Linked DNA regions of Oreochromis niloticus. The protein of the gene in region 1 interacts with the protein of each later gene in a pairwise test. Links are inferred from orthologs where the notes say so. Each region holds a gene or a part of one and is shown on either strand. Other genes may lie near its edges.

The links.
Region 2: the proteins of mapk7 (region 1) and ube2c interact in binary tests that used the Homo sapiens proteins (3 or more experiments, as listed by UniProt). The two-hybrid records come from large-scale screens. The link is inferred for Oreochromis niloticus from reciprocal best matches to the Homo sapiens genes MAPK7 and UBE2C.

What each region holds. Positions count from the first base shown.
Region 1 is NC_031973.2:17,614,938-17,630,445, forward strand, and holds the start of mapk7 (mitogen-activated protein kinase 7), read left to right. Parts: upstream 1-8,030; 5' UTR 8,031-8,191; intron 8,192-8,616; exon of another isoform or gene 8,617-8,748; intron 8,749-12,080; 5' UTR 12,081-12,084; coding exon 12,085-12,358; intron 12,359-12,473; coding exon 12,474-12,639; intron 12,640-13,289; coding exon 13,290-14,830; intron 14,831-14,914; coding exon 14,915-15,508. Other genes in the region: vkorc1 (vitamin K epoxide reductase complex subunit 1), read right to left, coding at 6,290-6,501, 6,755-6,864, 7,595-7,776. UniProt on the Homo sapiens protein: Plays a role in various cellular processes such as proliferation, differentiation and cell survival. The upstream activator of MAPK7 is the MAPK kinase MAP2K5.
Region 2 is NC_031970.2:1,165,576-1,181,408, reverse strand, and holds ube2c (ubiquitin-conjugating enzyme E2 C), read left to right. Parts: upstream 1-8,306; 5' UTR 8,307-8,458; intron 8,459-8,791; exon of another isoform or gene 8,792-8,794; 5' UTR 8,795-8,812; coding exon 8,813-8,919; intron 8,920-10,219; coding exon 10,220-10,247; intron 10,248-10,362; coding exon 10,363-10,449; intron 10,450-10,522; coding exon 10,523-10,727; intron 10,728-10,807; coding exon 10,808-10,867; intron 10,868-10,962; coding exon 10,963-11,000; 3' UTR 11,001-11,078; downstream 11,079-15,833. Other genes in the region: polr2j (DNA-directed RNA polymerase II subunit RPB11-a), read right to left, coding at 1,911-2,012, 2,809-2,917, 3,441-3,583. UniProt on the Homo sapiens protein: Accepts ubiquitin from the E1 complex and catalyzes its covalent attachment to other proteins. In vitro catalyzes 'Lys-11'- and 'Lys-48'-linked polyubiquitination.

The DNA.
Region 1 (15,508 bases):
AAATAAAATATTTTTTTGTGTTTACACTCACTCTTTCAAATAGATGAAAGTAAAACACAGCAGAAAATAAATAAAATCAAAGACTAGCGGTCCTGTTGCTCTATTTTCACCTGTAAAGCAGGACTGGGGTAGGCGGAGGTTTAACCTGGTGCAGGTGTGCCGCAGCGGTCAGTGGAAGAATCCGCGAGTTTCTCTGTGAATTTCACATTACGTCGTAGTACACTCGGTGCTTGCTTGGAAGTTTAGGGGTTTTTTCGCTGTAAAAAGAAGTTTTCTTCCCACGCACAACAGACACTAATGTTTTTGTCACTTTTTATGGAATCAAACTCAAAATAAGGTCAGTACTTCCACGCTTTAAATGCTGCATGCTCAAACTCTCTCCCGCACTGTCCATTGTTGATCTGTACACAGCTGTTGTCACGAACGTCGCACTCGCTTACGTCACTGTCATGAGACGTTCTAGCAAAAAAATCACGGTTTTAGTAACGCAGTAACGCAGCGTTCCTACGTGAAAGTAACGGTAATCTAATTACCGTTTTTGCAATGGTAATCCCTTACATTACTCGTTACTTGAAAAAAGTAATCAGATTACAGTGCCCATCTCTGGCTATTAGGTTTATGATCTATCTGAAGAAACTTTGTGCTGCACTTCAAGTCTACACCTTTTGGCCAGTTCTTCTCATTAGTCTTGCTTGTCTTCTTGCTTTTTTTGCAGTTCTTCATATTTCTGTTATATTTCTTCATAAGTCACCATCAAGTGCGGGATCTACCAAGGAGATGCGCTGTCCCCACTACTGTTCTGCAAAGGCCTGAACCCCCTCAGTGATATCATTGAAAAGACTACCTACAGATACCGACTATGGAATGGAGCAGTCGTCAGCCACCTTCTCCACATGGATGACATCAAACTGTATGCCAAGAGTGTGTATGCCAAGAGTGAATGAGACATCGATTTACTGATCCACACCACCAGGATCTACAGCAGTGACATCGAAATGTCTTTTCGGATTGGAGAAGTGTAGTTGGATGGTACCAAAGAGAGGGAAAAACTGAGGGGATTGAACTACCAGAAGGCAACATTGCAGACATTAAGGACAGCTACAAGTACCTGGGAATCCCACAAGCAAATGGGAACAATGAGGAGCCCGCTAGGAAAGCTGCAACCACCAAGTACCTGCAGAGGGTCAGGCAAGTCCTGAGGAGTCCCGGGCTATCAACACCTACGCCCTGCCCATGACCAGGTACCCTGCTGGGTTAATAAACTGGTCAAAGGAGGAAACAGAAACCACTGAAATCAAGACAAGGAAGCTCCAGACCACGCATGGACGGTTTCATCCCAGCACCCTGAGGCTGTATGGTAATCAAACGGAAGGAGGCCGTGGACCAGTGAGTGTCAGTACCACAGTCCAGGATGAGACAACAAACATCCATGTATACATCAGGAAGATGGCCCCAACAGACCGTGTGATCAGTGAATACCTCAGGAGGCAGAAATCCAAGAAAGAGGAGGAAGAGGGGGAACCATCATGGAAGGACAGGCCCCTGCACGGTATGTACCACCGGCAGACAGTGGAAGTGGCTGACATCCAGAAATCCTACCTACTGGCTGGACAGAGCTGGGCTGAGAGACAGCACAGAGGCACTAATCATAGCAGCACAGGAACAAGCTCTGAGCACAAGATCCATAGAGGCTGGGGTCTATCACACCAGGCAAGACCCCAGGTGCAGGCTTTGTAAAGATGCCCCTGAGACAATCCAGCACGCAACAGCAGGGTGCAAGATGCTAGCAGGCAGGGTATACATGGAACGCCATAACCAAGTGGCCGGCATAGAATACAGAAACATCTGTGCCAAGTATGGCTTTGAAGTCCCGAGGTCAAAATGGGAAACGCTCCCTAGGGTGATCGAGAATGACCGACCTAAGATCCTGTGGGACTTCCAGATACAGACGCACAAAATGGTGGTGGCTATCCAACCGGACATAGTAGTGGTGGACAAGCAGAGGAAGATGGCTGTAGTGATAGACATAGCAATACCGAATGACAGCAACATCAGGAAGAATGAACACGAGAAGCTGCAGAAGTACCAAAGGCAAATAACAAAATACAGCCAGGATTAGTTAACATTTTTGGTGCTATTTAGAGAACAAATGTACATAACCAGCACTTTTTTACATCACAGCAATGACCTTGTGTTTACAGAGCAATTTGCACTTTTGTGTAATTGTGTGTTTTGAGTCTTCACACCAGAACTGTGTCATGAATTTACTTCTTCATCGTCTTTCTGCTGTTTTACTTGTGTAAGCCTAGTGTGTGAGCACATTTGTGACATCAAGGCACCAACACTGAAGCTGTTCTTACTGTAACCTGTACCGTTTCCAACAAAGTAGTCTGGAAAATATAGAATTACAAGACAACGTTACTTTTAGTAGTTCACGCAACTAATGAGTCATTAAACTCAGAAGGAGGTCTATAGACAAGTTATTGTGCACATGCCACAAGGACAAGCAGTGTATACTCTTTCACCTGTGGTAAAATGCAAAGCATCAACCTTCATATTTTTACCCCACTCCACTGTTTGAGCCAAAACAAAACATGCTGAAGTCAAAATTAGTCATCTCTGGTCAAAATTTGTTACAAAGGAGAAACATAGGGAAGTGAAGAGTTCAAGATATGTCACAAGTGTTAAATTGGAAAACTATCAGGAAGTAAACTGCGGTGATTAGGAAAAAGAGGAAATAATGAAATGAGGAATTGATTCATGAGAAAATATTGCGTAATTTCGTTTGAGCTGTCCAGTCAGTCATGAACTGCCATCTTTTCGGGAACTACAGAAACTAAAAAAAATTTCAGCAGTGGAAAAGAGAAAAGGAAGGAGGAAATGTTCACATCAGAGAAGCTGTAACTACAGAACATGAAAACATGTTTCTTGCACTTCTATATGGACTGTACCTAATCTGCAGATCTAACTGTTAATTGTCTATTCATTAATCTATCTGTAATTTGGTGTGTAATTGTAGTACACATGTTGTGGAAACATAAATCTGTCTACACTGTCACTGCTGACTAAAATTACTTATTTGTTACTAAAAATAATTCCCCACAACATAAACTGTTATATTTATAATAAGGTTAGTGTAATGTTGTTCAGTGTATATCTTCAGAAATCAGTTAAATTCAATATGTCACCATGTTTACAAGTTAGTCTGCTGGTGATGAATCCCAGGCTCCCTTCTCAGGAAATTCTGACTAATTTTGGGTGAAAAAATAACAACAGTCATGTTATGAAAAGCTTTGATTACAGTCAAAGTCAGTTAAGTCATAGAGGCTGACTCTTATCTAGACTGGCTGATTTGATGTGACTGAAACCCGGCCTAGGATGACCAGTGATTTGAATTCTACAAATGTTACCACACTGAAAAGATTTCCATACCCTCTAAGTTATTAAAAAGTGAAAACAGGATAATAAAATTAAATCTAAAACATAAAATGATTGTATTTGTTAGATTTTTATTTTCTTTTACTTTTGATTGGTTATGCTACAGGGTCTGTGTTCAAAGTATCCAAAACCATGCAGAGCTGCAGGGTCACTGTTTTCGGACTTTGTTTAGATATGAAAGCTCTGGCTCACAGTAAGTTCAAGAAGTCTGTGCTCTCGTGTCTGCCTGGATTCCAGAGTGTTTACACTTTACATGTTCTATACTTTCTGTCACTTCCACTTAATTCTGTCATCATCACTCTGATTCCATTATCTTCTTGCCCACCTTCAGCAAGCCAATTAGTCTCTCTTCCTTATTATTTATTTATTTATTTATTATGTGAACTTAGTGCTAGTCTGTCATTCTGCCATTCTGGCTCTACTCCCCCCCACCACCACCACCACCGCCACCACCAAATACCGAATTTGCCACAATGTCAAAGAATTGCTAAACCTATGGCTGACACATTTATGGCATTGAATACTTTAAAAATCCTAAGCAAAGAATTCAACAGAAGAATCCAATACAAATCAATCAAAGCCAAACTAAAAAGAAGCGAATGTGACAAATTAAAATGTCAAACAGAAACAAACTGAGTTTTTCAGTGCATGAAAGCCTACTTAGTGGCTGATTACTTAATAAAAAGACACAAACACGTGGCATTACAGTAGTTATAGACTTCCGATACTTCTGATTTACCAACTAATTGAATAATATGTCTTAGTGTCTTAGTGACTCAGTCTGTTCTGTATTTTTTTCCACTTTCCACAGAAAAGGTTATTTGCTGCATTAAGTGACTTCATCCTCACTCATACATCATGCCGGTGTTACAAGATACAGCATCCAGAGCAGTATGAAGTTAAGGAATGTTTCTTCATGGTTCAAAGGTTGCTCAGCAGAGGATGATTTAAAGATCTGTGTGAAATGGCACGATGGACGATTGGTCAAAATTAGCCAATGAAAATGTGATATTAACTTTTTATAAAGAAGGAAAACACATTTAGTCTTTTGATTTAAATATATATACATATATATATATATATATGGTGGCTAACCAACCGGACATAGTGGTGGTAGACAAACAGAAGAAGACGGCTGTAGTGATCGATGTAGCGGTTCCGAATGACAGCAATATCAGGAAGAAGGAACACGAGAAGCTGGAGAAATACCAAGGGCTCAGAGAAGAGCTCGAGAGGATGTGGAGGGTGAAGGTAACGGTGGTCCCCGTGGTAATCGGAGCACTAGGTGCGGTGACTCCCAAGCTAGGCGAGTGGCTCCAGCAGATCCCGGGAACAACATCGGAGATCTCTGTCCAGAAGAGCGCAGTCCTGGGAACAGCTAAGATACTGCGCAGGACCCTCAAGCTCCCAGGCCTCTGGTAGAGGACCCGAGCTTGAAGGATAAACCGCCCGCAGGGGCGTGCTGGGTGTTTTGTTTTTTTTTTTATTAAAATTAATTAAAAATAAAAGCTAATTATGCAAGCTTCTAGCTTTGATTGAGGTTGTTTAGAACAAACCTGATGACACGAACTCTTAGAAAACTTATAAATAAACCACCAGACTTTGAGGGCTGTGAGTAAAAAAACAACTCCGAATGAGGCCAAAAACAGATGGAAACCTGTGCAGTTATTAAATTAAACACAACAGTCTTTACTCTCTGTGTTTTACTTTATAAATTGAGTTACTGTGAGCAACACGCATGTATAATTTTGTTGAGGTACGCTGTGTATCACGATTACAGCCTGCTGTCTTTAGCAGTCTCAATATTTTTCTTGCCTGGGTTGGATTTGGATTTCTTCAAAAGATGTGCTCATCACCATTACTGACAGTCTGTTATAATAAGTCGTTTTGGTTGGAATTGCAGGGCTTGTCTGCCTCATTTGTTTCACAGAGCAGCATTAAAAAGATGTGGCGATAGTCAAATTGGCCAGCAGATGTCACTGTGGAGATTGGTTCAGATTGTTTCGAAGCCTCGATACAATTCCTGCACAAACGGTTCAAACTTGTCGCCTCGCTTTGCCCATTATTATTTTCATCAGTTCTTTGGTAAGTAAGAAACAGACAAAACATTAAATGTAAGAAACTGAGGTGTTTGCACCATTAAATAACAATACAATTACTGGCAGTTTTTCACATTTTACCATATTAACTGTTTTTGACTTTGTTCTTTTGACCCACAGTTGAAATAAATTTTATTTTAATAATCAGATTTTTACTTTGAAGCTGAGCTAATGAGCTGCCACTGCTTGTTCTGTTTTTTTATGACATGTGGTCTAATAAATTAGTTAAAAACTGTACATATTGTAATGAAGCACACTGTATTAGATATATTTGTTTATTTTTTATCATCTTTTTTTTCTCTTTGTAGGTCTGGTGACTTTTTGGGGGAGACGGGCAACTTGAACAGTCGTTCCAATAAAGTTTGTTTGAACTGCTATTAAATAGACATTTATCTCCATCTGCTGGTAGGACTGAGTAAATGTACTGTAGAGAAAGGTATAGCCACTTTTAACACATTTGACCATATAACAGCCCAGAATTAAATCACAACAATCACACAGAATTAAGTCAGAATTCAAAAATGTGTTTTAATCATTACCAGTTAATAAAAATATACAAAAGTAGCTGCTGCACAACAAAGTTTCTGTATTGAGAACCAACTTATAGATATTCTGAGTCAAATCTCCAGTTATTTTTCTGTGAAAATACTGAATGTAAACTCATGTAAACACTGGCAAAATACTGTGAGATGAATCCAGCAGGGTTTCAGGATGGCAGGAAGGGATTTGTTACATTTCACAGGCAACACTTTCTATCTGGCTTTTTCCTTAATTTCCTGAACTGCTCTCTTCCGTTTCAGGTTGGTGTAGAGCAATGCAAAGTTGACAATATACGTGGAGACACAGACCATGCAGAAGTCTCCCAGAACAAATGCGAGAATAGATGCAAGATAGAGTGAACCGGCCACAGAAACCCAGGAGGAGAAGACCAAAAAAGCTGCTGCTTTTTTAGACACAGACAGTCCTGTAAAGAAAAAAGTCAAATAGAGAGGATATCAGGACCTCAGTCAAACATAGTACATTATTGGGAAATTTCACACAGTCTCACGTCCAGAGTGGAGTAAATGTATTGCTCCATATACATATTATGCAATCCTCAAATACCTGAAATACTTGTGCTTGCCATGGATCACAAACACATTGGATTGCAAATGATATTCTAAATAAAAAGCTCTCAGCATTGCACTGTAATTTACAGAAGGCAATCAGAGACTAACCAAGGCCCATCTGCAGAGTGTAAAATATGATGCCAAGAACACTGTTGGGCTGGTTTAGAGGACTATCTTTGGCCACAAAGTACTGGACCAAACCAAAACCACGTCCCCATCTGCCAGAAAGAAAGAAGTAACAGTCAGAGCAGCAATTTCTTCAAAATAAAATGAACAATTTTTTTATTTTTTTATTTTTTTATTCCTATGAAATATAATCAGCCTTACAGAGATATGCAATGTGATATAACCATTTAAATGTACACAGAAAGTATCTATGGCCAAAATGCTTACTTTCAGTAACTTCATTACATGTAAATGTTCTATCAAATTTTGTTACATAAGTACAATGTTAAATGTTAGATTTAAGCAAATGAAATTTACTTGAATGGTATACAGAGTTTATAATCAACATATTTTCCTTAATGATTATTTAATTTAATAAATAAACCGTTGATATTATACATTACCGCTGCATTTTACTCAAAATCACTGCTTCATGTTTATGAGGGCAAAGAATCATTTCTTAAGTGTAGAACATCAAGCGTGTAATAAAGATTGATTCTCTTAAAAATGACAAGAAATGTCAAAATAAACGTATATACCTTGTATTCTCACAATGTGAAACAGGAAGCTACTTGATGTAAAGTATTTTCAGATAAATTAAGAACACGTGGCAATTCAGTGTAGGTTAGAAAGGCTAGAAAAAAATATGTTAAAGTATCAGCTGGAAGACAAGGTTAGGATCAGATATGGATCAGTGGTCACCTGAAAACAGATCCAGGTAAGCTGATTCTGCACAAAAAGCGCAGTTATGAGGAAAAACGAAAGGCAGGAGTCATATCATACCTTGAGGTAAAAACTCTGGAGCAGCTTACAGACTCCCCCAGGTCGCACAGCGCTCTGTAATCTGGGTTTCTCTCCCGGGATACCTCGACGTGAAGGGCATAAATAGACAAAACCAAACCGAAAAGGCACAAAAACATGCGTACCTTTCGCTCCCATTTGGGGAACCCCTGAATGGCACCCATGTGGACACTAAAAGATGAATTTATTGCACCAATGTGTTGAAACTGCACGGTCCAGTCTGGTTTTCTTTCAAACGTCACCGTCCTCCTAGTCAAGACGACGTGTTCGTGCTCAGATTGTCGCTTTTGATTGGTCTGTGCGAGTTTTGCGACTGCTTTTCATTGGACGGTGGAGTCCAGATGTTGGCAGATGGGTGTTTGCACTGTATTTTTCTGTGGACTTCAGTCTGTTTGGGCTTTGGGGAATGTTAATAACCGCCCTTGCTGTTCATCTCACGCCACTGGAAGATTCCACTGCTAAACTACTATACCTGAAGGAGTTTGTTTGTTTGTTTGTTTTTACTTAACCAAAAGTGTCTGAATTTTTTCTTAACATATCCACTCGGAAATGCGTCATTAAAATTGAGCTCAACTAGAGGTAACGACTGCTTAATCCTTTAAATAAAGTAACACAACGTGCTTAGTAAGCTGTGAATTATACTATGAGGATAGTTTGGAAGATTTTAATAATATAATTTTCTATGATTAGTAGTTAGTATATTCTCCAGCTTTAGCATTTGTTATCTGACTGATCAGATAATCGCAGGCTTCGGGCTTAGTTGGATATATATTATTATTATATTATATATAAAGTTAGTGTAAAGCACCAACAGGAGCAGGTATCTTTCCCTAAATCTGACTCCTCCTAAAGTAATTGAACTGTGGGGAAAACAGAAAGAACAGAAACAGAAAAAAAAAAACCCCACAAAGATAAATAAATTGAAAAAGCGGAGACTGTCCAGCAATGTGCCGCCTCCCAACGCGTCCTCTGTTCCCATTGGACAAACTACTTGACGTCAGCGCATGTGGTTGGTCCGCATCATGGCACTCAAACCCTACGCGGAACTATACGAGGAAGCGGCAGACAAAAACAAAAGATGGTCGCGCTACTACGGGGTTAAAACATCAATGCTGGTGTTGTGGGTGACTCACAAGGTGAGCGCACATTCCTTTAACAGAAAACACGTGTCAGTGTTTTTCCGTTTTGTTATATAATCGACAAAAATGCCGTTTAACGATTTCTGTGTCTAGAGTGCTCCAGCTTCAGGTAACGTTATTAGCCTACGCCCCTGCGAGTAGTCCTTGTCGTGCGGTTAGTTTATAACTATGTAGTACACAAATTAGTGTGTTCTTACAGACAGCCTCTGCTGGGTTTGGCCTTTAGCTACTCGCATGAAGACTCCAGCTTTATTGTGGAGACGTTAGTAGAGAGCTACAGGTTTGGTTTTGGCCACTTTCACTGCCAGGCCTAGCGGGTGTGGAGTTACTAATCACACCTAGTTTGAGCCCTAGCAGGTCACTCTCACACAGTTTATCAGCGTTTAAAAGTGTGTTTTTATTTGTCAGAAGCAGTAGTTTCTTTTTATTTAAGTTTTTCTCCTAAATCTCAATTGAGCAAAACTTTCGCATGTGGTGGTTCAGTCTCTGTTATTCCTCAGTACCCACATTAACGGAGGCACTCCTGGGATGGCTTCCATGCGCCCAAGTGTTAACAGAAAAGCTTTTATATGGGCATAATTTGAGTTTTCAGTAAAACTGATTTTAATAGTGACAGAAATGCTGCCGCTGGATGGCACTGGTCTTATGGAGTACATAGTGTTGCTGCTACAGATTCCAGCATAACACATGTGGGTCAAACATAAGGCCCGGGGGCTAGAATCGGCCTAGCAGAGACTTTAATCGAAAATGTTAAGGAGAGCATAAATTTTGTATGTTTACATTTATTTTAATAAATGTTACAGCTTTTTCTTGTTGACTCTCCCATGACCACTCATACTAGCCCCAAAATAATTAAGTAATAAATAATAAATAAATTGAAATAAAAGTTTGTTCTTTCAATATCAGCTATAGAAAGCTCTGTTTTACAACAGTGACATTTTCTGTGAAGTAATAGAAACTTTCTTGTTTAGAAATACAGGACAGTCTAGACCAGGGGTCTCAAACTCGTGGCCCGGGGGCCACATCACCCCTACTTGTATTTTGACGTGAAGAAATATAATGCAATTTGGCCCTTGAAGTTACTTTTTTTGTTAGGAAGGATTTGTGTGTTGTCGAGTGGAATGTTAAAAATAAGTTCTTCAAAAAGCAAAAAAATATTTAATATGAAGAAAATATGAGTGCAGGGAGGGATTGGCTGTGTTAGTTCGGTGAGAGTTATTTGTAAAGAAAACAATTTTCACTAGCAGTCACACTTGGTACACTTAGTAGTAGGGCTGTGCGATATGACCAAAATCTCATATCCCGATATAAGACATCTATCGTCCCGATAACAACATACATCACAAAAATGTAACATTTTCTGTAAATTCTGTGAATCTCGGGCAGCTCGACTTGCGTGAAGTGTTTCCAGCTGGGGGTCGTGTACCTGGAGTCGAGTGTTTTAACCGATGCATTAAACGATACATTTTTAGACATAAGTTGTAACGGCCGCCGTTTTCTTTGTGAGTATTTGTTACACATTGTGCTGCGGGGAAAAGCCTGTTCTAACATTTGAGTCCAGGTTTATTTTTTAGCACCTGACGGCTCTTTTTTGCTTCTCATCCGTAAATACTCTGCATACTCTTTCACATGATTCAGTTTATTTTGAAAAGTCTCAACAGGATCTTGAGCTTTATTGTGAAAGGTTTATGTGGAAAATAAACAAGCGGACATGCGATGGTTTTACCGTCGTTGTTGCTAACGACAACGCATAAAAACGGGCGCTTGTCCGTCAGTAATGTGGTTATATTAAATATAAGAGAAAGAGAGAACTTTAAGAAATTAATATAGCCACTACAGTGACCATCAAAACGATAAAAAAATATTGCCGTAAATAGTTTATTTTGCAACACCACGAAACAAACGATAGCGTAAAATGAAACGATAGATGTTTTTATATCGTCATCCGATATATATCGTTATATCGAACAGCCCTACTTGGTAGTTCAGTAAAAGGCTTCAGTTAGTTACGAGTGAGAAAAAATACAATATTTGACATTGTTATACAATATTTGAAATGAAAAAAAAAACAGACAAAACACTACATTTTCTGAAATATTTGTGGGTGCTTTCTTGTTTTTGCTGGTTTGTTATTTTGTACTACTTGAACACTAAATTGGTACTACAGTACCAGATAGATAGATAGATAGATATTTTACTGATCCACCAATTGTGTTAAAGTCGGATAAAGAATACAAATAGTACAGTCAACAATAGAAAAAAAACAAAGTTAAAGTGCCACCAGCGCATATTGAGGGTCTCAAGTGATAAAAAGAAAAGTAAAAATGAAGCTAGTTAAAAAACTGTAAATGTAAGACTGACATTGTATAAGAGACTAGCGCAGATTGCATTAATACATGATATGTAGTTGATGTCATTACTCACTAAAATTACACACTATAAGACTTTAAATCCCAGAAACATTAAGCTAATGTGTGGCTCTTGACTCAGGTCAGAGGATCAAGAGCCTTCTATTTTGCCTCTTTGTTTCATTGTAACGGCCCAAATAATGGTTGATGTTTGCAGGGAAACAAAAATAAGATAAGATAAGATAAGATAAGACTTTATTGATCCCACGACGGGGAAATTTTTGCGTTACCTCAGCTCAGGTACAGATATCAGAAGGAAAATACAAATAAAATACAAACAAATAAAAAATAAGTAAGATAATACACTATATACACTATACACTATATAGCATACACAGTATGTGATTATGGATATGGTTGTGGAAATATGCAAGACATAAACTATATAGCTTAACATAACTATTGTACCACTACTATTCCTATGTATAGACATGTACACACACACATGTACACACTAAATATAAATATGTATACATATACATACATATATACCTGCACACGTCCATACACATAGAAGGTCCATTAAGCATGAAGTGGTGACTGTGGATGTCCACTGTGTCCAGTGACTTATGACATCGTGATTGAGGAGTTACAGAGTCTAACTGCTGTTGGGATGAATGATCTGCGAAATCGCTCCTTCCTGTAGTGAGGGTGTTTCAGTCTCTGACTAAAGGAGCACATATATACATATATACACCACAGTTATTCATTTTTCAATCACAAGCAGCAAATAAGAGCAGTGAATAAATCATATTTGAGAAAATATAGAAGGTTTACATGGCCTGAATTCACAATACACGGATAGTAGAAATGCTGATTTAATTCTAGCTGTTTTATAAAGCTGTAGTCTAATATAATCCCAAGTGGCGCAGTTAAGAACTTTCCAATTCCTCCAACTTTTCTGTTTTTGATTCTTTACAGAAAAATGTCACTTAAGGAGGGCGGAGAGAGTAAAAATGGTCAACCTGTGGCATCCCCTGAAAAAATGGCCACAGACAAAAGCAGAGAAAACCAGAACCCACGGGGAGTCGAGGTACCGGGCAGCAACGCGGACACCAGCACGGCAGCTAAAAACTTGGCTTTGCTTAAAGCACACTCTTTAGATGTGAAGTTTGATGTCGGAGAGGAGTACGACATCATAGAAACCATTGGCACTGGGGCCTATGGTGTTGTTTCCTCTGCCAGGAGGAGGGACAATGGTAATGCTGATTTAGTTTAAAATATATATGTAATTAATTCTGTCTTTAGTACAATGCAGAATAAATGATCAAATGTGGCTCTCCCTTAATTCTGTTCTGCATTTACACTTTGCAGGCCAGCAGGTGGCAATAAAGAAGATATCCAATGCATTTGAAGTGGTGACAAATGCCAAACGCACACTGAGAGAACTGAAGATTCTTAAACACTTCAAACATGACAACATTATCGCTATCAAAGACATCCTGCAGCCAAACCTCCCTCATTCTGCCTTCAAGTCTGTGTGCGTACTTTTCTTTTTTCTAACTTTGGCAAATAACACGTCCACAGATAGATCTGTAGATTTTTAATAAATACAAGAGCTGGAAACATAGTCATCAAATTGGATGTTGTTCTGTTATGCCCAGCCTTCTTCCTGCAGGGAGGAATTCTGGAGTTTTTTCAAAGAGATTATAATCAGAGCTGAGGAATGCATGTCATGCATCCCCTTTACTGTACAAGGGCATGCTTACTGTCCTGCTCCTGCCCCCAACAAAAGGGCCACCTGATCTAGAAAAATACAAATAAAAAATGAAAAAAAAACATGCACAATGTTTTTTGTACATTTAAATAAAACTAAAACAGTTTATAAAATGGCAAAAAACAGTCATTTTTCTGTCCACGTGTAATTATTTGACCAGTTATGTGTAAATCAAAATTGTTGACCTGACATCTTTGTGCACACAACATTTTAATGATTCTTGTTTAGAAGACTAATAAGATTTAGTAAATTTATTTGAAGTCTGTTTCATTGGGTAAGAATGACGTGCCACTGTGCATCATTACTAGTCTCCCGTCTCCCCTGGGCAACAGTGTATAAATAAAAAGTATTTTAATATATTTTGCCAAGTGGGCATGTTTTTCATCTTACTTTTGCTTTTCCTGTGTGTGCAGGTATGTGGTGCTGGATCTCATGGAGAGTGACCTGCACCAGATTATCCATTCTGCCCAGACGCTGACCCCAGAGCACACGCGCTACTTTCTGTACCAGCTCCTTCGTGGCCTTAAGTATGTGCACTCTGCCAACGTCATCCACCGTGACCTCAAACCTTCCAACTTGCTGGTGAACGAAAACTGTGAGCTAAAAATCGGTGACTTCGGCATGGCAAGGGGTCTCAGTTCACACCCTGAGGAGTCTCATTCCTTCATGACTGAATATGTGGCGACTCGATGGTACCGTGCTCCTGAACTCCTGCTGTCTCTGAATCACTATAGCTTGGCCATTGACTTGTGGTCCGTGGGCTGCATCTTTGCTGAGATGTTGGGCCGTAAGCAGCTGTTTCCTGGAAAGCACTATGTACACCAGCTCCAGCTTATTTTGAATGTGTTAGGCACTCCTCCCGAGGGTCTAATTGGTGCTATTAGGGCTGACAGGGTCCGCGCATATGTTCAGAGTCTTCCATCACGATCTCCCATACCTTTGGCCAAACTATATCCACAAGCTGAACCAGAAGCTTTAGACCTGCTGGCGGCCATGCTGCGCTTTGACCCTCGCCAGCGAATAAGCGTGACAGAAGCTCTGGAGCATTCTTACCTGGCTAAATACCATGACCCAGATGACGAGCCAATTTGCGTGCCAGCTTTTGACTTTGAGTTTGATAAGCTTCAGATGAACAAGGAACAAATTAAAGAGGCAATTCTTATAGAGATCCAGGACTTTCACAGAAACAAACAAAGCTCTCGTCAGAGGCTGCAGTTCAGGCCTTTGGTGAGGGTGAAAGGTGGAGCTGCAGCACAAAGCAGTAACCACTGCAGTGCTCAGCCTGCAACTGTCAACCTGAACGAATCATCAGTGGTTCCCTTGGCGCAGCACCCACAAGCAGCACAGCAAATGAGAGAGGTGAAATCTCAGCAGCACCAAGACCACACACCAGCAGAACGGAGCCACGCATTTACAAATCACATGACGACCTTCAGTAAGCCTGCATCCGCTTTAAAAGTCGCCCCACCCCATGTGACCCACAATTTACCTCTCCTCGCTAAAAGTGAAAGTGGCCCGGTTGATGTGGACATGCCAAGTGCCAACTCGGAAAACGGTCAGCCAGAAACTATAGATTTAACAACACCGGTGTCTAGTCAGGACGGTCCATCAGAGACGATGAGAGACAACGAGACACAAGGGCAGCTAGCAAGCAGTCAGGCTCCTCTAGCTCAAAACACCCAGAGCCAGAGCATGGCCCAGCCTGCAAACTCCATTCCTACAAAGCCAGCACAGGCAGTGACAACACTCCCCACCGCTGTGCCTTCCCTCTCTCTCTCTGCAGCACAGGCCCAGTCACTTTCTCAATCCCTTTCACAGTCCCTGTCCAAGAACGCCAGACCTGCTCCATGTGCAGCAGAGGGAACCAGAAAAGAAGGTGCTATTTCAGAAGATACTAAAGCTGCACTTAAAGCAGCTTTATTGAAATCAGCTCTCAGAAATAGAGCCAGGGGTGGTAAGTTGGTTCTTTCCCATAATCTGCTTTTAATCGCTTAAAATTTTAGACCGCCTTCATCTGAATGTAATATTCTCTTTGCAGATGGAAGCACCTCAGCTCTGGGCACCGACACGGGCGCAGGAGGAGGTGCGCCGTCCTCCCTGTCTTCTGTTCCGGAGTCGCGTCGGCCTGTCACAGCCCAGGAGCGTCAACGAGAAAGAGAGGAGAAAAGAAGGAAGAGGCAGGAGCGCGCGCGAGAGAGGGAGAGGAAAATGAGAGAAAAAGAAAAAAGAGAGGGAAAACAAGGGGATTCGCTGGGCGGGGTTCTGCTGACTGACAACGATAAAAGTCTTCTGCAGCGCTGGACAAAGATGATGGACAGCCGCAATGAGAAGTCTCAGCCTTCTAATAACAACGGTGCAAAGAATAAGGACTGCAATGTACAGAGAGGTGTAGTTATGGGTGACAACACTCAAGGAGCACTGAACAACAAAACAGATAAGGAAGCGAGGAAGGTTCAGTCTCATGAACAGTTAATGTCTCAAGTTAAACCTAACCAGCTGGGCTTGTTTCAGCCTCCCAGCACCCAGCAACCATCGTTAGTTTTCTCCATGAGCCAGACGAAGCCTCCAGCAGATATAGTTGTCGCTGTAAGCGGAGGCATAGATATAATGACTGTCACTAGTGGCTTTGTTA
Region 2 (15,833 bases), on another chromosome or scaffold:
CCTGAGTGGCCGCGATCTAATCCTGTTTACATAAAGTAAGCCTGCTCCCGAGCAGGTTTACGCTTACGGATCTGTTGCTATGACAGCAAGTCCCAGATGAGCTTCGGAGAACCGAACGATCCAAGATCACGCGAAATCGTCAACAATCAAATCCGGCTAACTTACTTAGCGAGGTACGAAGAACGGACCCCAGAAGGAACAGGAAGTGGAAAACTGATCATCTGCAGAGAAATTGTTTATTTTTTTGCTAAAGCATATAGTTAGGTCTGGATCGGGTGACCCTGAATCCTCCCTCGAAGGCTGCTGGGGGGATTCCCATGATGAACTGGGTGTTTCTTCTTCACTCACTATGTGTTAATAGACCTCTCTGCTGAATCACACTTGTTATTTGTGAAATTTGTGTCTGCAGGTTGATCCCTCCTCTTAATCAGTTGGACTTACTAAGGAACCTCAAGAACAAATCAGGACTCTCATTCAGGTCTGAAAGTTTCCACACAACGACTGCGCCATAACTGCACCAGTGAGCCAAAAACCCTCCTCGAACTAACCTGAGAACACCTGAGAACATTTCAGGAGCTAAAATGCTAACAGACACTTTGCATTTAATAGTTATTATTAATCTCTGTCTCTCTTCCACAGCATGTCTCTATCCTGTCTTCCTTCTCTCACCCCAACCAATCACAGCAGATGGCCCCGCCCCTCCCTGAGCCTGGTTCTGCCGGAGGTTTCTTCCTGTTAAAAGGGAGTTTTTCCTTCCCACTGTCGCCAAAGTGCTTGCTCATAGGGGGTCATATGATTGTTGGGTTTTTCTCTGCAGGGTCTCTACAATATCGGCTTGAGGTGACTGTTGTTGTGATTTGGTGCTACATAAACAAAACTGAATCTTCTAAATTTGTGACACGCCATTTCCTCTCCAGCTTACAAGTTATCTGCTTTAGGCTACGTGTTTGAGAATTATACCATGGAGTCAGGTACATCTGATTTGAGGCCTTAGTTTTCACCGGAGCTACAGTATCCAGAGTCGTACGTAGTGAGGAGGTAAAATTATTAACCAGATGATCGACCTCTGTTGGCGTAGCGTTCAGGTAGCTGCTCTGCTCTGTGTTGGTACAGGGCATTGAAGACGATAACAGTGGGCGGATTATATCCTTAACCCTCTGCGTCGCATCTATAACTGCCAGTCTTTGACTACTTTGATTTCACTTTGACTGTTTTTCCTTGCCTTGCTCTCATTCTTTTCAGCACAACCTCACGTTTCATTTTATAGTTATTTTTTCATTTGGACATAAAGTATAAATACAATTGACCTAAAAAGTAAATAAATAAAACCCAAGTGGGAAGAGTTGGACTTTTTCTATGAAAACATATTTAATGAATCATTTTCATAACTGGAACGCAAATATAAATTATAAACTGGTAAACTCAGTATGAACAGGAGCTTTTTTTTTTTGGCAAATATTTTTATTAATAAAAAGAAAACAACACAGTACTTGCACTTACCGAAATACAATTAACCTTTCTTCATTTTCCTAACTAAATATACTTATATATGAAAAAAACTGAACCGGAGCTTTAAGCTTTGAGGTAATCAGGTCACTGCACAGCAGGTTTGTGATGTAGATGAAGAAAAAGCTGTTTTTGTAAGGGTGATAATGATCAGAGTATTTCTTCTCTCTATTATTGTTTGCAAACAAATAATTTGTGCTAAGTTCTGTCTAATGATCTGTTAAAACAAACACAGGAAAATGTTGACCAGCACTTTAAACTTCAATCAGCTGCAAGCAGCCACCGCCTGAGCTACAGGTATGTCACACACACTCATCAGGATATGGCATCACAGGCTTTATTTAAAAAAAACAGAAGACAAACAGAGGACAGGTAACTGGAAGTGACATCACGATGGGGCGGGGTCACTCTATGCCTTCCTGTTTGTCTTTGATGGCGACTCTGAAGCGTTCCTCCAGCAGTGACAGCTCGCTGATCAGGTCAGTGATAGCGTTCGTGAACGCTTCCTGTCAGGAACAACATCATTTCCTGTCATTTAATTTCACTTCCTGTAACTAAGAGCTGTAATCAGAAGTGTGTTCCAGGAAACAGGTTTAGTTTAACCCTGAGATGAGGGAAACTTGGGTTTTCTGTTCCAGAAGGTCAGTTACCATGGTAACACTCTTATTATAATCAATCACTCTGATGGATAAATGGATCTTATTTGAGTGACGTTCAGGCTGAGATGGCTTTAAAACTAAAGCTGAACTAAATGTGTTTAAAGTCACTGCAGACAGTCTGATTGTAATCTGATTACATTTCACATTGAAATGTAATCAGATTGAGGTTCGGTCATTTAAAGTCAAACAGCCTGGGCAGATTTTCCACTGAACATCACCTGAATCAGCCTCTGCGGGTCGACCCAGAACCAGATCAGCCAGAACATGGGCTCCATGACGGATCAGCAAACCGAGTCCACTTGCACGGCAGGACGGATCCAAAATGGATTTTCGATCACGGATTCAGATCGGCTCAATCCCAGATCCAGGTCTGCTCGGTCATTTCCCAGCTGATCCCGTCTGGATCCGTTTGCAGCTCTGCTCTGATCTCTATTCCTGATTTAAAATGTGTCATTCTTCCAAAACTATCCTGAAATATCCTGATCCTGTAGAAGCTGAGACGTCTGTAATAGGTACGCATGCACATAACTCAGTGGGAACACACTCAGAGCTGAATGAACTAACTGATCACCCTTCTGGAACAGGAAACTCAGAGTCTGATGAACATACTTCCTGGAATATCCCACAGGTGTGTGCGTGTTACCTGTGGGCTGTAGTCAGGTGTGGTCTGCACTCTGATGACGATCTTGTGCTCCAGAGGATGAGGAACTTTATAACCAGCAAACAGAACCTGAGGGTCCTTCAGCAGCTGACTGACCACACACACACACAGAGAAAGTCATTTGATTGGTGGACAGACTGTAAGGATGAGCAGTTTAGTGTGAATGGTGTGTGTGCAGCTCACATGACAGTCTGACGGAAGAATATTTGAGGATCAGTTCATTAACTTTGCTGATTTTATGATCAGGCACTGGGACAGCCACCTGTGGTGGCTTACACTAAGACCTGTTTCCCATCAGCAGCATGTCATGATTTATTAAAAAACAAAAAGCAAGTAGAGATCAAATATTCCAAGACTATGTTCTGGTTTTCTGTAAAACACCTCCTACGCTACCTGTAAGATTGAAACACCTGCAGGCTGCGTGTTAGCATCTATCTCTGAGCCGCTGCTCAGCATTTGTGTGGCTGTTAGCCTCAACTTAGCCAGCTGTGAAGCCGGGTCTGGGACCCTTACGCTCGGATGACTTTAGCGGGCTGTTGTTAGCCTGAGGTTAGCCTGTTGTTAGCCTGGATGTAGCGGTGTGATGCCTTTGCGGCCGTGTCTCGGGGCCTTACGCTCGGATGATGTTGCCCAGCGTGTGGTCCTCCTTGTTCAGGGTGAACAGGCAGGCGTTCGGGACTTTGGTGTCCTTGCTGATGCTGATCTTTTTCTCCCCTTCGAACAGCAGGAACGACTCGAAAGCGGGAGGCGCGTTCATCTTACCTGTTCACTGCTGCTGCGGCTGCTTCTTCTTCTTCTTCTTCTGTATAGGGTTTATTGGCGGTTGGCAAACAACTGAATGGTGCATTACCGCCTCCAACTGGTGTGGAGTGGGGACTGGAACGTCGCTCAAAAAACCCCCCAAACCCCTCAAATGCTCCCAAGCAATTTACTCTCTTTTAAAAACTGGGATAAGGCCTGATAACTTTCACTTCTCGAGTCCTTTTGCAGAAAATCAATAAGAACTAGTTTCATTTTCATATTGCTGAGGTTTTGGGTCAGTTGTCTTCTCTCCACCTGATACTTCTGACAGTCTAATATAACATGTTCTATCGTTTCCTCTTCTCCACAGTCGTCACAATTCCCTGTATTATGTTTCCCTATCATGACTAGTGTAGTGTTCAAACCAGTATGTTCTAATCTTATTCTCGATATGGCCACCTCCTCTTTCCTACTCCTTTCTGTGCTCCTCATTTCTCCTACCCTCCTTTGGATTTTATCCAACCACCGTCCCCTCTTTTCCTCCTCCCACTGTTTTTGCCATCTTTTTTTTGTTTCTTGCCTTACCATACTCTTTACCTCTGTCTGACAGAAGCTAATACCCAGGTCAACTACCCCATGTTTTGTGGCTTCCTTTGCAGCTCTATCTGCCATTTCATTTGCTCTGACTTCACAGTGAGCTGGAATCCATAAAAACACACCTGTAAGTCTCGTCATGTGTATTCTGTGAAGTGTTGCTGAATCTCTGCTAGGACATGTGCTCTGCTTTCTGAGCAGCTACTCTGTAAACTGACCAATGACGAGCCTGAGTCTGAACAAATAACTGCTTTTAACGGTTTCATGTCTTCTGCCCATTGAACAGCTAACAGTATTCAAGAGCAGCCTGTGAGGTCCTGCACACTGTAACCAGCAGACTCCAAACACAGCACCCTCAGGCCCTTTTCCTGATCTGTGGGGACTTTAATCACATCTCCCTGTCCTCCACTCTCCCCACCTTCATCCAGTATGTTACCTGCCATACCAGAGACAATAAAACATTGGACTTATTGTATGCCAACACCAAGGAGGCATACAACTCATCACCTCTCCCTCCCCTGGGGGGCTCAGATCACAACCTGGTTCATCTCCAGCCTGCGTATAAACCTCTAGTACAAAGAGAACCAGTTGTGAAACGCACAGTAAGGAAATGGTCGGCAGAGACTGAAGAGGCCCTGAGGGACTGTTTCCGTTCTACTGTGTGGGACAACCTCTGCAGCCCCCTGGAGGATGACCTCAACAGCATCACAGACTGCATTACGGATTACATGAACTTCTGTGTGGACAACACCGTACCCATCATAAAGGTACAGTGTTTTTCAAAAAACAAGCCATGGATAAATCCTGAAATTAAGGCTCTCCTCAAGGAGAAGAAGAGAGTCTTTAGATCTGGAGACAAACAGGAGCTGAGAGTTGTCCAGAAGAAGCTGAAATGGAAGATAAGGCAAGGAAAGGAAAACTACAGGAGGAAGATGGAAGAGCAGCTGCAACAGGACAACATCAGAGGGGTTTGGAACAGCCTGAAGACAATCTCAGGACAAAAACCAACCCCCCAGGCTGCAGGAGACTTGGGGTGGGTGAATGACCTAAATCAGCGGTCCCCAACCTTTTTTGCGCCACGGACCGGTTTATGCCCGACAATATTTTCACGGACCGGCCTTTAAGGTGTCACGGATAAATACAACAAAATAAAACTAGTACCGGTACCGAAAAAAAGATTTATTCATAACACACATGAAAAGACCCAGGAAAACCGAGTTAACAATAAAAACGATAACAGAATAACGCTGAAAACCGATAAAAACCCTGAAAACCATACATTTCACACCTGAGCCTCAACTCTCGTGGCCCGGTACCGGTCCGAGGCCCGGGGGTTGGGGACCGCTGACCTAAATAAATATTTTAATAGGTTTGATCAACCACCCACCCCTCCCCCAGCATCGTCCCCCCTGCTGCAATCTCCCTCATCTTCAGGGACTGCCTGTCCTTCATCTCAGAGCTTCACACCTCTCAGCTTCACACCTCCCAGCTCCCAGTCATTACACCCACCCCCGGCTTCTGTGGACTCCAACATACACCCCCTCCCCAAAATCCACTCTTTCTATCTCAGCACTTCAAGTGAGGAACGAGCTTCGCAAGATCAAGGTGCGGAAGGCTGCAGGTCCAGATGGCATCAGCTCCAGGCTCCTGAGGTGCTGCGCAGATGAACTGTGTGGCATCCTAGGATATCTGTTCAACCTGAATCTGTCACTGGGGAAAGTACCACAGCTGTGGAAGACATCTTGTGTGGTACCGGTACCAAAGACCTCCCATCCCAAGGACCTCAGCAGCTACAGGCCGGTAGCCCTGACATCGCATCTGATGAAGGCCCTCGAGAGGTTGGTTCTGAACCATCTGCGCCCCCTGGTGAGGTCTTCATTGGATCCACTGCAGTTTGCTTACCAGCCTGGCATCGGGGTGGAGGACGCCATCATCTACCTCCCTCACCGAGCTCTGACTCACCTGGAGAAGCCTGGAAGCACTGTGAGGATCATGTTCTTTGATTTCTCCAGTGCTTTCAACACCATCCAGCCACGACTTCTGAGGGACAAGCTGGAGCTTTCGGGAGTGGACCACCACATGTCCCAGTGGATACTGGACTACCTCACAGAACGTCCACAGTATGTGAGGTCACAGGTCTGTGTCTCTGACACGCTGGTCAGCAGTACGGGGGCCCCACAGGGGAGTCCAAGGAGCGCTTCTTTTAAAGACCTTCTATGACTCTGTGGTGGCATCTGTCATTTTTTACAGTGTTGTATGTTGGAGCAACAGTTTATCGGCAGCTGAGAGGAAGAGGTTGGATAAACTCATCAGGAAGGCCAACTCTGTTCTGGGATGCACCCTGGACTCAGTGCAGGTGGTGGGAGACAGAAGGACTCTGGCCAAAATAACATCTCTGATGCACAGAGTCTCCCACCCCATGCATGTAAATGCTGCTGAACTGCAGAGCTCCTTCACTGACAGACTGCTGCATCCTCGATGCATGAAGGAGTGTTTCCGCAGGTCCCTCCTCCCTGCAGCTGTCAGACTGTACAACCAAAACTGCTCCCAACAAACATAGAGGTTTACATCAGCGCTGTAACTTGCACTATTTTATCAGCCGATTTACACTATAACCAGGGTTTGCCTCTTATCTGTATTTCATTTTATTTAATTTAATAACGGTACAGTACTCTGTTTTTGGTAACCATTGTCGTTGATGTAAATATGTAAAAATTGTGTATGTTTCTGTTCTGTGTCTTGTGTACTGTTTGTTTGTATATGTGTCCTTCTTGCTGCTTTCTTTCCAAGCTCCTTAGACTATGACCTGGATGACTGAGAACCTTCACAGACAATGAAAATAAAAAGAAAACATTAAATGTAGTGTATGTGTTAAAAAATGAAATACATCATTCAAAAAGATGTAGAATTGTTTCACTGACTGTTTTACAGTTTTACAGTACAAGATTCATCCAGATCATTTCTATAGTTTTAATAAATTGGTTTGTTATTCGACGTTGTTGGTGATTAAATACTTCTTATTGTAAGTCCATATCAATGACTCATTAATATTCATAAAGTTACTGTTCCAGTAAAACTCACAGTGAGGAGTTATAGGACAATGAATCATATATGTTTTATCCAGTATATTAATGGCATCTCTGAGAACATCTTTATTCAGTGCTGTCTGTATATTTGGTCCATTTGTGTCATCATGAAACACTGTACTGTGTTCGCTCACAGATATGGGAACATCACAGGTCCTCACAACACAGGATATGGAAGAAAATTACCTTTTTCCTTCACTAGCTGGGACACATCATTAATATTATTTTTCTATTTCTCATATAATATTGATTTATTTCTGTTTTCCCACACAAAAGAATAAAGTGCAGCATCGACTGTTTTACGAATGATTTAGGAACATTTTTACTTTTGCAGGATGCACTGAGTGAGACAATCCCTGTTTAAGATAAAAGGATCAGTGAACGATGGCTCATGAGCCACAGATCAAATCTGTTTTTCATTTTTGGATTTATATGCTGAAAATTAGAAATGACCCTCTCAGATTGATCTCGACAGATGTTAGTTCCCAAATAAGTCATCTGTTCTTTGACAGGAAAACCTTCTTTATGGACACGAGCCTCTCCGACAGGAACAGGACACATTTTCATGTTTAAAGTCAGACCTGATACTCCAGAGAAAGCATTAATGCAGTTTATCATCTTTGTTTTGAACTCATCTTTAATGAAGACAGCTGTATCACCTGCGAGCTGACAGCATTTCATTTCCTGGTGGAAACTCTCCGAGTGGTTCCCACCAAAGTTTAACTGAACTATTACATCATTCTCACTGTGGATCTGTGCTCTCAGCGCCTCCCCATGACATCATCTGATAGTCACCTTTCACTAATATAATAATAAGTTATTCTGAAACAGAGCTGTAATCATACACAGAAGGTAAAACGTTTATTTACAGGCATATTTATTATGACAGGTAAGTGAATACACAAATGTATATTTATGTAATTTTATTTGTTTACTAAAACCGATTTCTGACTTGTTGGGCTCTGTTATGACGTCAGAATTAAATGACGTTTGGATCATTTCGTCGTTCACGCTGCCTAATCACAACGCACCTCCTTTTACTTGGCAGGCCTGTCATTGGCCAGCCAAAGCTGGTTTGTTTTTAAAGGTCGGGCGCTGATTGGCCGACTGTGTAAGAAACAGTCGGTTTAAATCGGGGGGCGGGAGCATGTTCCGTTTGAATCCAACAGACAGTAGCGATACTCTGACCGACAAACCCCGACCGACAACCGGTGAGTCCGTACTGGGAAAAGTTTTTGTTTGTTTATAGTCTCCCCTGGGTAATAAACAGGCTAGCCACAGAGCTAACGCTTAGCCGACCGGTAGAGCTAACAGTTAGCACCGTTAGCACGAAGTCGTCACAGTGAAGGTGAGCCTCGTCTGTTACTGGAGCGAGGTCTGAGTAAAACACCCGAACGGTGGCCTGAGAGGCGGATACAGCTGGAGAAGAGTCCTCGGAGCTGTATCCGGTGCCAGCGTTTAGCTGCTGTTAGCTTAGAGAGAGAAACACGGGAGGTGATCCGCAGAGGAACCCGGGCCTTCTAACCTCAGTTTGTCTGATTCAGCAGAACCGGACGGTAACGCACATGGCCTCCCAGAACATGGACCCCGCAGCGGCTGCAGCTTCCAGCGCCGCCGCTCTGAAAGGCAGCGAGAGCGGCGGCAGCGCGGCCAGAGGCTCTGTGTCCAAACGGTGGGTGTGTGTGTGTGTGTGTGTGTGTGTGTGTGTGTGTGTGTGTGTGTGTGTGTGTGTGTGAGAGAGGGAGAGAGACTTTTCCTACTGTGTGTTTTCATATTGGGTGTTTGTGTCAGCTCTCAGTGCCAATTTCTGACTCTACGTGTCGTACAGGTGTTAGCAGGTACACTTCCTGTTCACGGTTGATTACCAGCAGCCTTACTAATAAAGTTTAAACAATGGTTTGGTTTCAATGTGCTGTGCCGCCGTTCTATTAGACCAGTGGCCCTGTCCCACTAGTACAGGTGTTCTGGGAATCCATCCGACCTGACAAACCATCCTACCCATTGTTTCTGCGCATGCGCACAACACGAAATTAAGTGGCGAACCGTCCTACCCTTTATGAATATTAGCTAGAAATATACTCTGACGGGTAAAGATATCATCCTACCTTTGTGAATGTGACCTACAAGCATACTTTAACAGCTAAAATTTAGTGGCAAATCATCCTACCTTTGTTAATAAGAGCTAGAAAAATACTCTGACGGCTAAAATGAAGTGCCAAACCATGCTACCTTTGTGAATGTGACCTACAAGCATACTTTAACGGGTAAAATTAAGTGGCTAACCGTCCTGGCTTTATGAATATGAGCTACAAGCATACTCTGATGGGCAAAGTTAAGTGGCAAACCATCATACCTACTTAAATTTGTGCTGGAATTACTCTATGACAGCAGAAATGTCCATAAACTACTTACGGTAGGACGTTTTGCCAAAGTAGGATGGTTTGTCAGAACAGGTTTTTGTTTTTTGTTTTGTAGTATGTGCTATCCTAAAATGTGACATCAACGGACTGGATGCCACCCATTGGCTAGTCAGTAGCGTCGAATGATGAGTCATGAAGGCGTGTCATTCACGAAAATCAAAGCCACCATATTTAAAACCCGGCAACGGGGGAAACCAACAACCCCAGAAACCGAAAACTACTAGAGTCGAGCTGAGTAGATACCTGTGTGAAAGGGCTAAAAGTGACGCTGTTCAGCAGGTGATGGGTGGGGGCCAGCTCCTACAGGTGTGGAGTGACAGGCAAACGTAGTATCATAATTGCCTCAGTCTGAGTCAGACAGGTGGGCAGGTTTACCTGATCCTCTCTGCACAGCACCTGTCTGAGCTGCAGTTTCATGAAGCGCTGAGGTGAGTTCAGGAGGAAACACCTGAACAACAAAGGAGGCAGGCTCCTCCTTAGTCTGAGCCAACAGTGAAACACTGAACTGAGCATGTACAGCAGATTCTGAGCTTCCTGTTTGTGTGTCTGCAGGCTGCAGCAGGAGCTGATGACGCTCATGGTGAGTCCAGTCTTCATCCTCATCAGTGTTCTGTTCTAACCTGTAACACCTGAGGTCATCTGACACCCCCATGTGTCCTGAAGTCATGTGACCAGTCTCTCTCTCTCTGGTGCAGATGTCAGGTGATAAGGGGATCTCGGCGTTCCCAGAGTCAGATAATCTGTTTAAGTGGGTTGGAACCATCGATGGCGCTCAGGGGACGGTATGTACACACGGATCATTTGGGTTTCTCTACTCTCAGCAGAAAGTTAAACTCTGCTCTCTTACCTGTTCAGGTGTACGAGGGCCTCAGGTACCGCCTCTCTCTGGAGTTTCCTGCCGGTTACCCGTACCAGGCCCCACGCGTAAAGTTTGTCACGCCATGTTTCCACCCCAATGTAGACGAGCACGGCTTCATCTGCCTCGACATCCTGAAGGACAAATGGTCGGCACTCTACGACGTTCGCTCCATCCTGCTGTCCATCCAGAGCCTCCTGGGAGGTAAATGCGTCATCACCCCAGCACTGTCCAAGCTCTGCACTCTGACCTATGACCTCACTGTCACTCTGCTTCCTCCTCAGAGCCTAACAACGACAGTCCTCTTAACGCTGTGGCGGCCGAACTGTGGGACAACCAGGAAGGTGAGACCACGTAAACACCGCGCTGTGTTCAAACACGTTAACAGCTGCGTGCAGCAGGACTGATGGAGGTTGTTTGTTTTTCTTTTTTCTTTCAGCCTTCAGAACTCATCTACACTCAACCTTCCAGAAGTGAATCTCCGCCGCCTCATGTTCGTCTGTCTTCTGTGTTTGTATCATATTTTTATGTTTGTCAATAAAGTTCTTAATTCAACACAGTGTGTTATTTATCGGAGTGGCTGAAACAGGCTGTCCTCCCTGACACACCGCATGCAGGCTGGACTTCTCTTTTTAATATTCAGCTGCTTTTACTTTGAAAGAGTAGGAGGAAAAGGAGGAGCCTTGGGTGGGTGGGGTTTTTTGCTGCTGCATCATGACATCAGAGCGGTTTGTCAATATTGAAGTACACTTTGTAGTAGTGATGGGGAGATGAAGCCTCGTGATGAACTGAAGCTTTCCATCTAAGTAGTTGACTCATGGTTCGAAGCATTGTCATGATTCATTTGCTCTACTGCACCATCAAGTGGACGATTCAACTGAAACAGGTTGAGTGATTATAATGTGATTTGTAAACCGCTAAACTGAATAAATTGTTTTTATGGTTATTTATCCTGAATATTGTCTCAGTATGTCTGATACAAAAGAGAAAGTGGAAACTATCAGGACAGTTTGTGGGATGATTTTGTAATCATGCTTGTGTACATCTGGATAATGACACAAACTAGTGTGTGGTGCTTCAAGTTGAATAAAGAAGTTACTGTTGTTCATGACACCAATAACTAAACTATAAATATTAGTTATATTTAATATATTAATGTTTGTGTATAATACATTGGCAGCTTAACACAGGAATGTACATGGAAACAAAAAGGGAGGGAGTTGTGATGTGAATGTGCTTGTGACTTTATAACAGTGCTTATGACACTAGGGAGAAGTTCTCATTTGTTTTTATTCAAAAATGGCAGCTTTTCCACAGTGCTGGGCTTAAGACGGTTCCTCTTTTTTGAGAGGATTTCTCCTGCTTTTGAAAATACCCTTTCACGGGGCACAGATGAAGCAGGGGTTGCAAGAAAAACCACAGCAAGTTTATACAAGTTTGGATAAACAAATCTGTGTCCAACCCAGTACTCCAGCGGATTCTCCAGTCTGCCGATGTTTGGTTCATGGAGGTATTTCTGCACTTCAGCTGTTGCATCAGCAGTAGCATTTGGGGTCTTTGTCTCCATAACAGTGGTGTCCAAACGATGCCACAGTTTGCTACCTAAAACAAACAGAATGTAAGTAACTAAATACAATATAATAATCAAAATGTGCTCATATACCTTGAGTCACAGGCTGAGAAGCTTTTGATGATGAAGCTGCTGCTGATGAGGGAGCCAAGTGCCGCAAAATAGCAGCACATTCAAAAATAAGTCTCTTCTCACCATCCAGTGCTTTATTTGAGCTAAAGAAGACTTTTTTTTTTTTAACCTTGGATCCAGCAATGTTGCCAGTGACATGATGCTCATTGACTGCAATGTGTAGAGCTTCTCCTTTAATTGTCTCCTTAGACACTCAACCATGGTGGAGCTCTCTGGAGTTAGGACAACTCCCATTTCCTCTTCATTTAGTGCATGGTGCAACATTGTTAGAAGTGGAATTACTTTGGATCCAGGCACTCGCTTTTCCTCTGACAGCTCAGTGGTGGCATCATTAAATGGGGAGAGCATTTTGAGACATTCTGCCATAAGCTCATACAGTTCAGAGGATAGTGGGCAAATATCAGTGTGCAGGCCAGCTAACGATGCTCCAATAGGTTCCCTGAGTTCATGAACACGTTGAAGCACTTGGAATGTGCTGTTCCAATGTGTATCCACCTCTTGAATTAACTTCAGTGCAGGCCGGCCCATTTGCTCCTGCACCTCTGTCTGCCTCTCCTAAGAAAACAGCCAACACAAACTGATTAATTGTGTGGATGCCTCAAGGCATCCACACTATTGTTTTCCTGTTTCTCTTTATTCTTTATCTTTATTCTCCTAGTTGCTCCGTTCTTTGCCGATTAACTACTCCCTCAGTTTTCAGCCGATTTTCTCCGTTCAAACTCTAAAAAATTCTGCTTTTTCTGCTAATGTGTGCTATGACTTTTGGTGCTCATAACTTCTATACTTTTTGAGATATTGAATATTTTTTGCAATATTTTTGCCCATTGAAATGAATGGAACACATTATCAATGTGGTCACTTATTTCTGCTCGCCAGGCTGAGCTGTGTTTTAGCTCAGTGAGATGAGCAGCCGTTCTAAGACTGGGAGGCCCGGGTTCAAATCCCACTTATGGCAACAATTTATTCAGTTCACAGTTAAACTTTTTTTTTAACTGTTTTCAACACAAATGTGAGCATCTTCACCCCCTTTCAGCAAAATTTTCAGTTTTTCTGCTGTTTTCAGAACAAAAACCCTCTTTTCAGCAGAAATTCTGCTCATTCACCTCTTTTCAGCACAGTGTTCTGCTTCTTTCCGTCTTTTCTGCAGAAATACTGCTCATTCTTCACCCCATTCTTCAGCAGAATTGTGAGTTTTTTCACCCCTTTTCAGCACAAATCCCATCTTTTTCAGGTGATTTCAGCAGAAACCTCTTTTCAGCAGAAATTCTGCTGATTCACCTCTTTTCTGCAAAATTTTCAGCCTTTTCTCCTCTTATCAGCACAATTCTCAGCAGCTTCTGCTCATTTTAGCAGAATTGTCCATCTCTCCACCTCTTCTTTTTGAGAGTGACTTTGGGTCAGTGAGATGACTAGCTTCCTTGAGACTAGGAGGGCCAGGTTCGAATCCTGCTCATGGCAACATTTTCTTTTTCACCACCGTATAACTTTTTGCAACTTTTCATCTTTTGCAGCTTTTCAGCAGACAGCTTCAGCGTTCAGGCATCCACACAGCATTTTCGCCTGCTATGACTTTTGGTGCTCATAACTTCTATACTTTTTGAGATATTGAATTGTTTTTGCAATATTTTTTGCCCATTTCTGCCATATCATCAGTGGCGTCACTGATTTTCCTTGCCGGGATGACCTGTGTTTTAGCTCAGTGAGATGAGCATCCGTTCTCAGACTGGGAGGCTTTGTTCAAATCCCTCTTATGGCAACATTTCTTTCAGTTAACAGTTAAACTTTTTTAACTCAATTTCAGCTTTTTCACCCCTTTTCAGCACAATTTTCAGTTTTTTCACCACTTTTCAGCACAAATCCCAGCTTTTTCAGCTATTTTCAGCAAAAACATCTTTTCAGCAGAATTCTGAAAAGAGTTCTGCAGAACTCTTTTCAGCAGAAATTCTGCTGATTGAACTCTTTTCAGCAGAATTTTCACCTCTTTTCAGCCCAAATTCTGCTTATTCACCTCTTCTGCAAAATTTTCAGCCTTTTCACCTCTTATTAGCAGAAGTCCCAGCTGTTTTCAGGAAAAACTCTTTTGAGCAGAAATTCTGCTGATTCATCTCTTTTCAGCGCATCTTTCTGCTTCTTTGCCTCTTTTCAGCATAAATTCTGCTGATTCACCTCTTTTCTGGAAAATTTTCAGCCTTTTCTCCTCTTATCAGCACAATTCTCAGCAGCTTCTGCTCATTTCAGCAGAGTTGTCCGTCTCTCCACCTCTTCTTGGTCAGAGTGAGGTTAGCTCAGTGAGATGAGTAGCTGCCTTGAGACCAGGAGGGCCAGGTTCGAATCCTGCTCAGGGCAATGCTTTTTTTTTCACCACCATACAACTTTTTGCAAGTTTTCATCTTTTTCAGCTATTTTCAGCAGACAGCTTCAGCGTTAAGGCATCCACACAGCATTTTCGCAGGAAATGCAAATTTTTCTAATTGTGTGGATGCCCTAAAGGGCTTCCACACTATTGAGTTCCTGTTTCTCTTTATTGTGTGGATGCCCTAAAAGGGCTTCCACACTATTGAGTTCCTGTTTCTCTTTATTGTGTGGATGCCCTAAAAGGGCTTCCACACTATTGAGTTCCTGTTTCTCTCTATTGTGTGGATGCCCTAAAAGGGCTTCCACACTATTGAGTTCCTGTTTCTCTTTATTATGTGTGCCTATGCCAGGAGGCACACATATTATTATTCCTCGGATTTATTATGTGTGCCTATGCCAAGAGGCACACATATTGCTATTCCTTGGATTTATTATTATTATTATGTGTGCCTATGCCAAGAGGCACACATATTACTATTCCTCGGATTTATTATTATTATTCTCCAGTTTCCGCCTGAAATTTTGCAGCGAATCTCGCCCCGCAGTTTTGAGACAAGCTTCATATATGTTACCTCATTTTGTGCGGCCGGATCTGGAATGGTGTGCTATGACTTTTGGTGTTTATGAATTTTATAGTTTTTTAAATATTAATATTTTAGTGAAAATTTTCCCGCGCTCCTCTGCCGAACAGTTTTGACATTAGGGTTACATATGTTAGATCATTTTGTGCGGCTGGAGCTGGACTATTATGTCATGACTTTTGGTGTTTATGACTTTTATAGTTTTTTAAATATTAATATTTTAGTGCAAATTTAGGCCAATTCATCTTTTGGCGCCAAATAAACAGACTTCATTTGTGGTGTGTTGGCGCCATCTTTTGGTCCCATTGAAACAAATTTCAAACTTCATTTGTGGTGTGTTGGCTCTCTCTAGTGGTATGCCGGGAGTGGTACAGCCTGTCTACCCTTATTTGGATACCGTAATGATGACAATATCAATGGCGCACACAGCCTCGCTGCTTTCAGGAACCATTGGAGGTTTTAAGGTTGCGCGAACCATTGAATAGTTACGGTAAACACAATGGCTTCTATGCTTGGTGGAAAACTCCATATCCCACAATTCATAGCACACCTCTGCCGAGTTAAACAATGGCGGCCACCACTTCGTTTTATATGTCTTTTATTAGTGTTTCTAGGTCACAAAATAAACTTTTAAGATATTTTCAGGCGAGAATGTAGGTGTGTAAACTTCAA